Linked DNA regions of Nothobranchius furzeri. Each later gene encodes a partner of the first gene's protein in a complex. Links are inferred from orthologs where the notes say so. Each region holds a gene or a part of one and is shown in the gene's direction. Other genes may lie near its edges.

Evidence for each region.
Region 2: the proteins of qtrt2 (region 1) and qtrt1 are in contact, whole or in part, in a crystal structure (PDB 7OVS), measured with the Mus musculus proteins. The link is inferred for Nothobranchius furzeri from reciprocal best matches to the Homo sapiens genes QTRT2 and QTRT1. Residues at the interface, in NP_001343258.1 of Mus musculus: Arg39, Thr40, Gly41, Ser42, Ala43, Pro44, His45, Leu46, Thr47, His48, Gln49, Thr50, Asn53, Glu70, His71, Glu73, Val74, Glu77, Tyr78, Phe85, Ile86, Gly87, Phe119, Gln342, Glu343, Phe345, Tyr355, Asn359, His360, Ala363; in NP_068688.2 of Mus musculus: Thr50, Thr53, Met54, Lys55, Gly56, Ile57, Thr58, Thr59, Glu60, Gln61, Ser64, Arg80, Pro81, Leu85, Lys88, Ala89, Phe95, Met96, Asn97, Ala307, Lys308, Phe310, Pro320, Thr324, His325, Ala328, Phe329, Ala332, Leu333, His335.

Annotation. Positions count from the first base shown.
Region 1 is NC_091747.1:50,803,723-50,808,270, reverse strand, and holds the start of qtrt2 (queuine tRNA-ribosyltransferase accessory subunit 2), read left to right. Parts: upstream 1-1,694; coding exon 1,695-1,912; intron 1,913-2,076; coding exon 2,077-2,132; intron 2,133-4,248; coding exon 4,249-4,325; intron 4,326-4,452; coding exon 4,453-4,548. Other genes in the region: ccdc191 (coiled-coil domain-containing protein 191), read right to left, coding at 84-125, 935-985. UniProt on the Homo sapiens protein: Non-catalytic subunit of the queuine tRNA-ribosyltransferase (TGT) that catalyzes the base-exchange of a guanine (G) residue with queuine (Q) at position 34 (anticodon wobble position) in tRNAs with GU(N) anticodons (tRNA-Asp, -Asn, -His and -Tyr), resulting in the hypermodified nucleoside queuosine (7-(((4,5-cis-dihydroxy-2-cyclopenten-1-yl)amino)methyl)-7-deazaguanosine).
Region 2 is NC_091745.1:2,106,235-2,110,595, reverse strand, and holds the start of qtrt1 (queuine tRNA-ribosyltransferase catalytic subunit 1), read left to right. Parts: upstream 1-1,456; 5' UTR 1,457-1,474; coding exon 1,475-1,762; intron 1,763-1,843; coding exon 1,844-1,912; intron 1,913-2,019; coding exon 2,020-2,158; intron 2,159-2,238; coding exon 2,239-2,433; intron 2,434-3,694; coding exon 3,695-3,833; intron 3,834-3,923; coding exon 3,924-3,999; intron 4,000-4,361. Other genes in the region: dnm2a (dynamin-2), read right to left, coding at 834-994.

The DNA of each region.
Region 1 (4,548 bases):
AATTAACAAAAATATGAATCCCCAAATTAAAGGAATTTGCACTAATGAATTACTAATTTCAAATAATGAAAATGTTCTCACACCTTTCTCCACTGATCAGTGTCATTATTCTTCTTCACAGATACCTATTTGGAAAAAAAGAGAAAATTAAGTGAATAGTTTGTCTTAAAGAAAGGCAAAAGGCCTGAGCATAAGCACAGGTCTAGTGGTCACTTTAGCTTTTTTGAAAATCCTCAGAAGCTTACCTTGAGTTGCAGAGGGAGTGTGAAAATCGAGGCATGAGAGATGATGTATGCAGTTTATTTCACAGGAAGCGTATAGGTATTGCCTTAAATCCTCAGATTAAACCCCCAAATCATTGCCCAGACATCTTAAAGGAGGTCATTTACCAGCAGCAATGCAATGTGGAGAATTTCTGACAAAAATCTACATTTTTCTATCTTTCTGTTGCAAAAACCACAAGCCCATGTATTCTGAAGTTTCACCCTGTGCATCTCTTTCATTTATAAATACTATTAGATTTTATTTTCAGTTGTATTGCTTCTTTTTAGGGAATCCGGTAATGGTGGCAAAAGGTACTGAAACTTTATCTTTGCATATATTTAGAAAATAAAAACACAGACACACATATGCATACTTGTCTCTGTATCCATGTGTGGACCCTCCATTGACATCAGTTCATTTTTGGGACTCCACTATGCCTAATCCATACCCTACCAATGCTGTTTTATTCCTAATCCTAATCTAGACTAAAAGTTAATTCTCACCATAGCTCTAAAACCATGTTTAAGGGTATTTTGTCATTGTGTGGACTAGCCAAATGCCCCCACGCACGCACGCGCGCGCGCGCGCGCACACACACACACACACACACACACACACACACACACACACACACACACACACACACACACACACAGTGTTTTAGGCTTACCTTGTCGGACAGGAGCCCTTTCAACCTGAACGGCTGACCTGAGGATGCCATTATCACCACAATAAAAGCCTCTGAATGGCACAAAGTGAGCCTAAATCTTACTTAATTTCCAGACTACATACGCGAAAAAATAATTCACTGTTTTTGATACTACAGAGCAAAACTTGAGCTGAAAGGCTTGCTACCTTCGTGCTTCAAAGTGAAGAAATGTGGGTAATGATTGAAAACAACTGCCTAACCTCCCATAAATTCTGACCCTTTGAGCTACATATCCCAGTAGACTCAAGAGTGTCTTCGGTAACCGTGGCAACAGTGTTTGCCTCTGAAACTTGAGAAAACACATAAAACACCATACAAATGTCGGTAAGATAATACCTTTCAGGTATTTGTTACACGAACTTCTATGAAATAAACTAGAAGGTTGATTTATTTGGAAAATAAAAGCAGACGGGATAATCTTCCCTTTGAAAAATATGTTGGCGGGTTGGCGCCCTCCATTACGTCATATGTCCGCGACTTGTAGTTTCTCCCAAGACATGCGTTTTTAACGGTAAGCCCGATAAATGTGCTCCTGAATTAAGCAAATATAAAATAAAAACGCTAAACAACAAACGCGAATTTCCTTCTAACGACTCAGTGTCAATAAAAAAACTAGTTTGGCAAAAGTGACACTAAGCTAAACAGCTAGGTGGCTAGATCGCTTGTAACTTCTGGCAGCTCGGATATAGTTGTTTGTTTTGGAAATTTTCCTGGAGTTGTTATGGCTGGCAGCAGGATGCAGCTGGAGCTATCTCGGGTGGTTCATGGGACAGCTCGGTTGGGTGTACTGAAGGGTCTCGGGAGCACGGGGCAGCACTCGCTGGATGTTCCGTGCTGCTTGCTGTACACCCACTTTGGCACAGTCCCCCATCTCACCCAGGACACGCTTCACACCATCAGCTCCCTCCCTTTTGTCACCCAGGTCGCTCTGTCACATGTGTAAGTCCACACACACACACACACACACACACACACACACACACACACACACACACACACACACACACACACACACACACACACACACACACACACACACACACACACACACACACACACACACACACATAGCTCAATCTTATTTCTAATCTACATCTCTCCAGAGCAGAGCACCAAGATGTGCTGGAAGAGTTTAAAGATGGACTGAAGAAGTTTGCAGGTACAGTTGTGCACATTTCTCATCACTTTTCCCTAGTAAGAAGTATCAGTCTGCATGTGATCAATAAAAACACCAGAAAAGTCTATTGGATCTTTTAAATGATCAAATTACAGTTTTTTTTTTACAGACATTAGGACCCATTTCTCAATACTTAGGTCACATTTGCAAAACTCTACATCCAGTGTGCACAACAGAAGTCTATGTGGGCCAAACTGAGGATCAATTATCATTGCTTTGGCACAAAATGCATTGAGTGACTACATCTCTCAAATGTCATGAAGTCCTTTCTCACTCAGACACAACTGCCAAAACTCATTGTACTAACAGGACATTTTGCACTTGCTTACATACTGTTCACAAAACTGTAAAACTTATGTTCAAAACAATAACATACTGCAAAACTGAATATGACAGCAAAATCCAACAGCAATATGTTATTGAAACATAAATGCAGTTTAACCAGCCACAGCTGGAAGGGTTGTGCTAGGATGAAAGGGATGTGGGCAGACGGAATCAGCCAACATATATAATTGTATGGGACAATGTGGCATTTCACCACTCCCATGCAGTCACAGAGTGGTTTGTGGCCCATCCCAGAATGGAGTCACTTTTCCTCCCACCTTACTCTCCATTCCTCAACCCCTTAGAGGAATTCTTTGCCTCATGGCGGTGGAAGGTGTACGACCATCATCCACATGATCAAATGTCCCTTCTGGATGCAATGTACGCTGGATGCCTGGACATACCAGCAGTAGATTGCCAGGGATGGATCAGGCATGCCAGAAGATTCTTTCCTAGGTGTATTGCCCTAGATGACATAAGATGTGATGTGGATGAGAACCTGTGGCCAAATGGAGAAGACCGAGTAGATTAGCATATTGAATCTGTATCAGAGGATGTTGTGTTAACAAAGTCTTGTGTTTTGGAAGTACTTAGTGCAAAAACAAATACCATTAAAAATAAATGAACAACATGAAATATTGACTAATTCTGCATCATGTCTGATTCATTCCAGTAACATCTATTGGAAGTATGAACAGAGATGTGTCCTTGTTTTACACAAGAAAATGTAATGCTACACGTTGTTAGTGTTGTTTTAGGTCTTTGTTTTGTGGGTGACAAAGTGGGTTTGTCGGCTGTCAACCTTTGCTAGTGTTCTGGAGGAATGTGTTTATTTGAGACCTGCATGAAGTGTTTTGGTGGTTGTAGTGCATTTTGAATGTGAAATGAACTGTTTTGCCAAGCTGAAACTTAGTTAGAACTGTGTGAAGTGTCTAGCAAAAGTGACATTAGTAATGAGAAATGGGCCCTAACGTCTGTAAAAAAAACTGTAATGGGAGTGTCCTGGCCAGGAGGTTCAAAACATCAACAAATGACTGCAAACATACAGGAGATCTAACATTTACACAACATAATCACCTATAAACTATTAACATCACTAAAACATTACACTCTACTTATTAACCAATTACACAAGTCCGGGATAATATATTAATATGTTGTATCTAAACTGTTTTAACATTTGTTTTAAGGCATCTTAAACCAAAAACAGCAGGAACACATCTTTTCACTTATTCTTATTATAAGGTCCATAATTTGTGACTTATGGTAATGAATCAATAATGTGTAGATTTATATGATTTGTTCAAAATATGGGTCTATCAGGATCAAATGAATAAACTTCTTACAGCACTTCTAAATAAAACGCATTTGAATCTATTATAGGAATCTAATCTGCTTTTTAAACTAAAACAAAAGTGTTTCTGCTCCCAAGTCCCCGATTTAGCTTTGCTTTTACATGTAGTACTAAGCTCTACTCAGGGTTTTGCAGTGAAATTTCAAATTGTAAATGCAATAAATGTTGATTAATTTTGTAATGGATTACCAAAGTGTTGTCTCTAAAGCACCAGAAAGGAAGAGCAGTGATTTAAGGGCTGGAAATAATAATTAGGCTCTTTGTTTTCTCACCTTCTGATCTTTCAGCTGCAGCTGGGTTTGCTGATAAAGTTCATGTATCCTCTCTGTAGCATGCAGAAATAGGCATTCAGCTCTGGTAGCGTTCTTGGTGCTCATTTGGTACAGGCGTTGTTCTCAAGGTGTGAATTTTAATTCTCAGGGCTTCGTGATACAGCGTTGTTCTGCTCGCTTCACGACCCCGCAGCTCCGTGCCCGACGGGCTACACCACTAATAAGGTGAGACGAGGTTTCACGCTCTGCTCTGTGCATCATTGACATCTCTTGGGTGTTTGAGCTAAAGCTTGGACCACATCACAGAGGACAGCAAAAATAAAATTAATTAAATTTATATTTGTGTCATTAGACGGTGTCTGTGTGGGGCAGCGGTGGGCGGATCGACATGTCGGTGGCCAAGTTCATGGCTCTCCAAAAGGTGGTGCAACCAGACTGGTATCAAAGC
Region 2 (4,361 bases), on another chromosome or scaffold:
GAAACCTGTTCAACAAGTTGCTTTAGACCAAGCTTGTTTTGTCTCATGACAGGCACACAGTGCTTGTGAGGTAGAGGTCAAAAGGACCAACTTTCTGAGGATGACAGCCGAGCTTCTGGGGAGCAGGTACACCAGCTGACTTCACCATTTAAACAAAGAAGAGTACAAATACAATCCATTTCCCTAAACTCTAAGCTTTAACCAAAACTGGCCCGAATGGGGAACACAGTATAGGAAGTAGTGTCTGTTGCAGATGTGTGACAAAACAAGTTCACTGTGATGGCGTAACTTTCTGCGCTCAATGTTGAAAGTCACACTATAATAATAAATTAAAACACGCATAAACCCTCTGAGAATAAAGAAACCAACATCTAATGAACGCCTGTATTTATCCATAAAGCTGACACTTCCAAACCTCAAAGGAAAAAATATTCAAAAACGATCAACAATAGGATAAGGTTGAACTCCAGCAGTCAGCTATGAAAACAAACAAAACAGGAAATGCGAATGTTGTTTTCCGGTAGTTTGAGTGTCTATTGTATTTGTAAACTGAAAAGAATACAAATACCTGGACCAATTGCAAAATATTACCAATTCAATCCAATCTGTAGGTGTGGAAAAGTAAAGTTCTTATAATTATTCCCCTTTTTACTGTGCAAGATGACTTACGAAAAGTGCGTAAATGACACGTACGGTTCAAGCACTTGACGTTAGAACTTAGTTTTATGACAAATATCATATTTAAGTATTCATAACGTGTTCAAATACTACTTATGACTTCACATAAATTGTAAAACAACCAATAACTAATCTTGTGAATTTTTATCCCTTACCTGCCAACAAAGTTTTCCAATACAGAGCTTTTTCCAGCGCTCTGTCCTCCGACTACGGCAATTTGTGGAAGATCTAAATTGCAACTCTGCCCAATTGAGCTGAAAGCATCTTGAAGCTTGTTGATCAGGGGAATCAGTTCTTCCATGCCCCGGTTCCCCATGGCTTCGTTTAGCTCGGAGAGCCCTTCAGTTAAACGAAAACCGGAGGCTAATGTTAGCTTAGCAGCGATGTGCTCTCTGGTTGCTCGTAAGTGTTGAGTTCAGCCGATTCAAGCAGCTCAAATATTTAATTCGACTTTGAAATCCTGAGCTCCTATAAATCACTGCCAGTTCAGAGCAACATAGTGTCGTATTCCTAAGTTAACTAAAACCCCAGCGAGTCGAAACGAACGAAAAACTCGCAAAACAAAACTTCCTCAACACAAACGCCATCCGGTCCGGTGAGACGACATCCGATCGAAACCGGTAATTGTAGACCCGCCTCTTCTGTCTCTGTCAGAATCTAAGTCGCTTATTTGCTAATTCTGTTGTCACGTCACTAAATTATATTCTGATTGGATAACAATGTGAAAGGCGTGTTTGTCACGCTGCGTTACGATTCCAATTGGTCGATCAGACTGTCAGTTGCTGCCCATTGAAACATGGCCGCCGCCACGGTACGTGGAGTAGATAGAAACACATCAGAAAGCCTCATGTCTTTGAAGAAAGCTGTAACTGCAGCTTCGCCTCTTGCTTTGAGAATTGTTGCTGAGTGTCCAGTGACTAAAGCAAGAGCTTGTGATTTAGCACTGCCACACTGGACAGTCAGCACGCCGGTTTTTATGCCCGTCGGCACTCAGGGAACACTGAAGGGCATCACTGCTGACCAGCTGGAGAGCCTTGGATGTCAAATTTGTCTCGGAAACACATACCACCTTGGGATGAGGCCGGTGGGTAACTTGTGACGTATTCAGTAGGGTTTAAAACATGGCCAGATCACTTAATAGCTATGTTGCTTCCACTTTCTAAAGGGACCTGATTTGATAGAGAGAGCTAACGGTTTACATGGGTTCATGAACTGGAAGAGAAATCTCTTAACTGTAAGTATAATAATACAGATTTCCTGAAAACCAGAAGTTACGTGGTGCTGTATTCTCAGAGTAATAGACAGTCAAAGTGTAAAGGATACCCTCTCTCTCTCCTAAAGGACAGTGGAGGGTTTCAGATGGTGTCTCTTGTGGAACTTTCAGAGGTCACAGAGGAAGGGGTCAAATTTAAATCCCCCTATGATGGCAAAGAAATCTTGTTAAGTCCTGAGAAATCCATCAGCATACAAAACAGTTTGGGTGAGCAAACAGTGAATCATGTTGATTTAGTAATATGTTTTATGTGTTCTTCAAAGGCAACATTTCTCATCCTCTTTCAGGGTCTGACATCATGATGCAGCTGGATGATGTTGTCAGCAGTACAGTGAAGGGACCACGGGTCGAGGAAGCCATGCATAGATCCATTCGCTGGCTGGATCGCTGCATAGCAGCCAATAAACATCCTGATAGACAGAACCTTTTTGCCATCATTCAGGGGGGACTGGATGCACAGCTGCGCAAGGCCTGCCTGAATGGTAATAGGAGGAAAAAAACTATATCCTTCCTCTGGTTTTACTCTTTTCTTCTGTCTCAGCATTGACAAGCACGTAACATAAGAAGATGAAGTGTGGACGTCAAACCAGTTAAAGGGGCATTATGGAAGTTTGACAGCCAAAACATGTATAGAAATAATTAATGTCTTCTTCATACGTTCTCCTGCAACGCCCTGGTCCTGTAGAATGAGCCCTGGCATTTTTACTGTGATTGCCTGTTTTTTCTGTAAAATCACAGAAAAAGAGAGCTGCTCGGGTCGAGCAGGCTGCTTCATGCGCGTTCACGCTCAGGCATCGCCCGTAGCATTTGCTATCCGTAGCTTTAGCAGCAGAGAGAGAGGTAGTGCCAACTCAGCGACTTTGTCTCTGTTCCTAACGCCTAGTGATGCAAATTAGCAACAAAATAGCCATTTTCGCTCCGAACCGTTCTTTGAGCGTTGTTTTAGCTGTAATCAAGGATATAAATGTTACAGATACCGAAGACGTCAGTGGCGGTTAAGCTCATCTAGTTAGACGTCGGACTCTAGCGCAAGAGACCCAGGTTCGATTCTGGGTGAGAAAATAGATTTTTTAGAGTTTCTTTTTTTTACATTAATGGTATATTTTTTTACAGTAAGACACCCAAATTTTTATTTGAGACTCGTCGAACGGCATTGAATTCACAGATAAAAAAATGTGGGTTCAACTTTCATCTTGGAACAATTTTTCAAGCAAGGGAAGGGAATGATCTGAGCATGCAGGAGGACTGACCCATCATCAACCTTTGTCGGCTGTGCTGAAAAGAAAGATACAGAACCAAATTATTTAATTAATTAGCTGCCTGTTCTCCTGCCCTCTTTCCTCCGGGCCACCCACACACACACACACGGGACTGTCTCAGCTGTTATTTTCGTTAAGGAGTGTGCACGTACAGCATGCGCGCCTCGTGCACGAGCCTACTATTGAAGCTGCCGTTACACTTTTGGCCTGAGGGGGCAATCGCGAGCATAACAATTCAAAACTCCATAAAGTCCCTTTAAATAAATGTTCATTTGCCTCTAAAATCCAGCTGTTGGAAATCAACATGTTGCAGGATAATTGGTGCAGAAAAAAAGACAAGTGGATGAATCTAAAGACTTTAATGCCTTGGCTGTGCTGTTCAAAACGATAACGCACAAATGTGTAACTGGACTTTTGCAAGATCAAAAACTCATGATCATAATTTAGTATTGCGTGTGTTGATATGTCGATATTTTTAATGCAGAAATGACTCAGCGTGATGTTCCTGGTTTTGCCATTGGAGGCTTGAGTGGAGGAGAAGAGAAGGATGACTTCTGGCGGATGGTCACACTGAGCACTGACTACCTGCCAAGAGAAAAGCCTCGTTACTTGATGGGTGTTGGGTATGTTTGCAGAAAAATGCCTTTTGCAAACGGGTTTTGTTTGCTATAATGACATTAATCAGAAGCATGTCTTTTCTTTCCATACTGCAGGTATGCTGTGGATTTAGTAGTGTGTGTTGCTTTGGGATGTGATATGTTTGACTGCGTCTTCCCAACCCGCACGGCGGTAAGTTCTTCATACATTTCATATTTGTTGTTTGGAATTTTTTTTATTGAAGGAGTTCTTTAACAACACACACAAACCCATGAACTCACCGAGCTGCAGAGTTTCTGTGGTCACCTTCAGATAACTCCACATGTGACGAGCACCACCTCAGACCTCAACATTCAGATTCAGGCCCCGTAAGCCCATGTTCCACTCCTCCTCTGCAGTTGGAGATCAGCGAGGCTAGCGTCGCTGCAGGTCTCTGGCTCTGGCTGCAGCGAGGTAGCGGAACCGGGAAGCCTGGCTGCTCAGTGGGACTGTCGCCAATATGGCCACAAGTTTCCCAGTCCTACCAACACATTATATTTTGCCCCATCATAGTC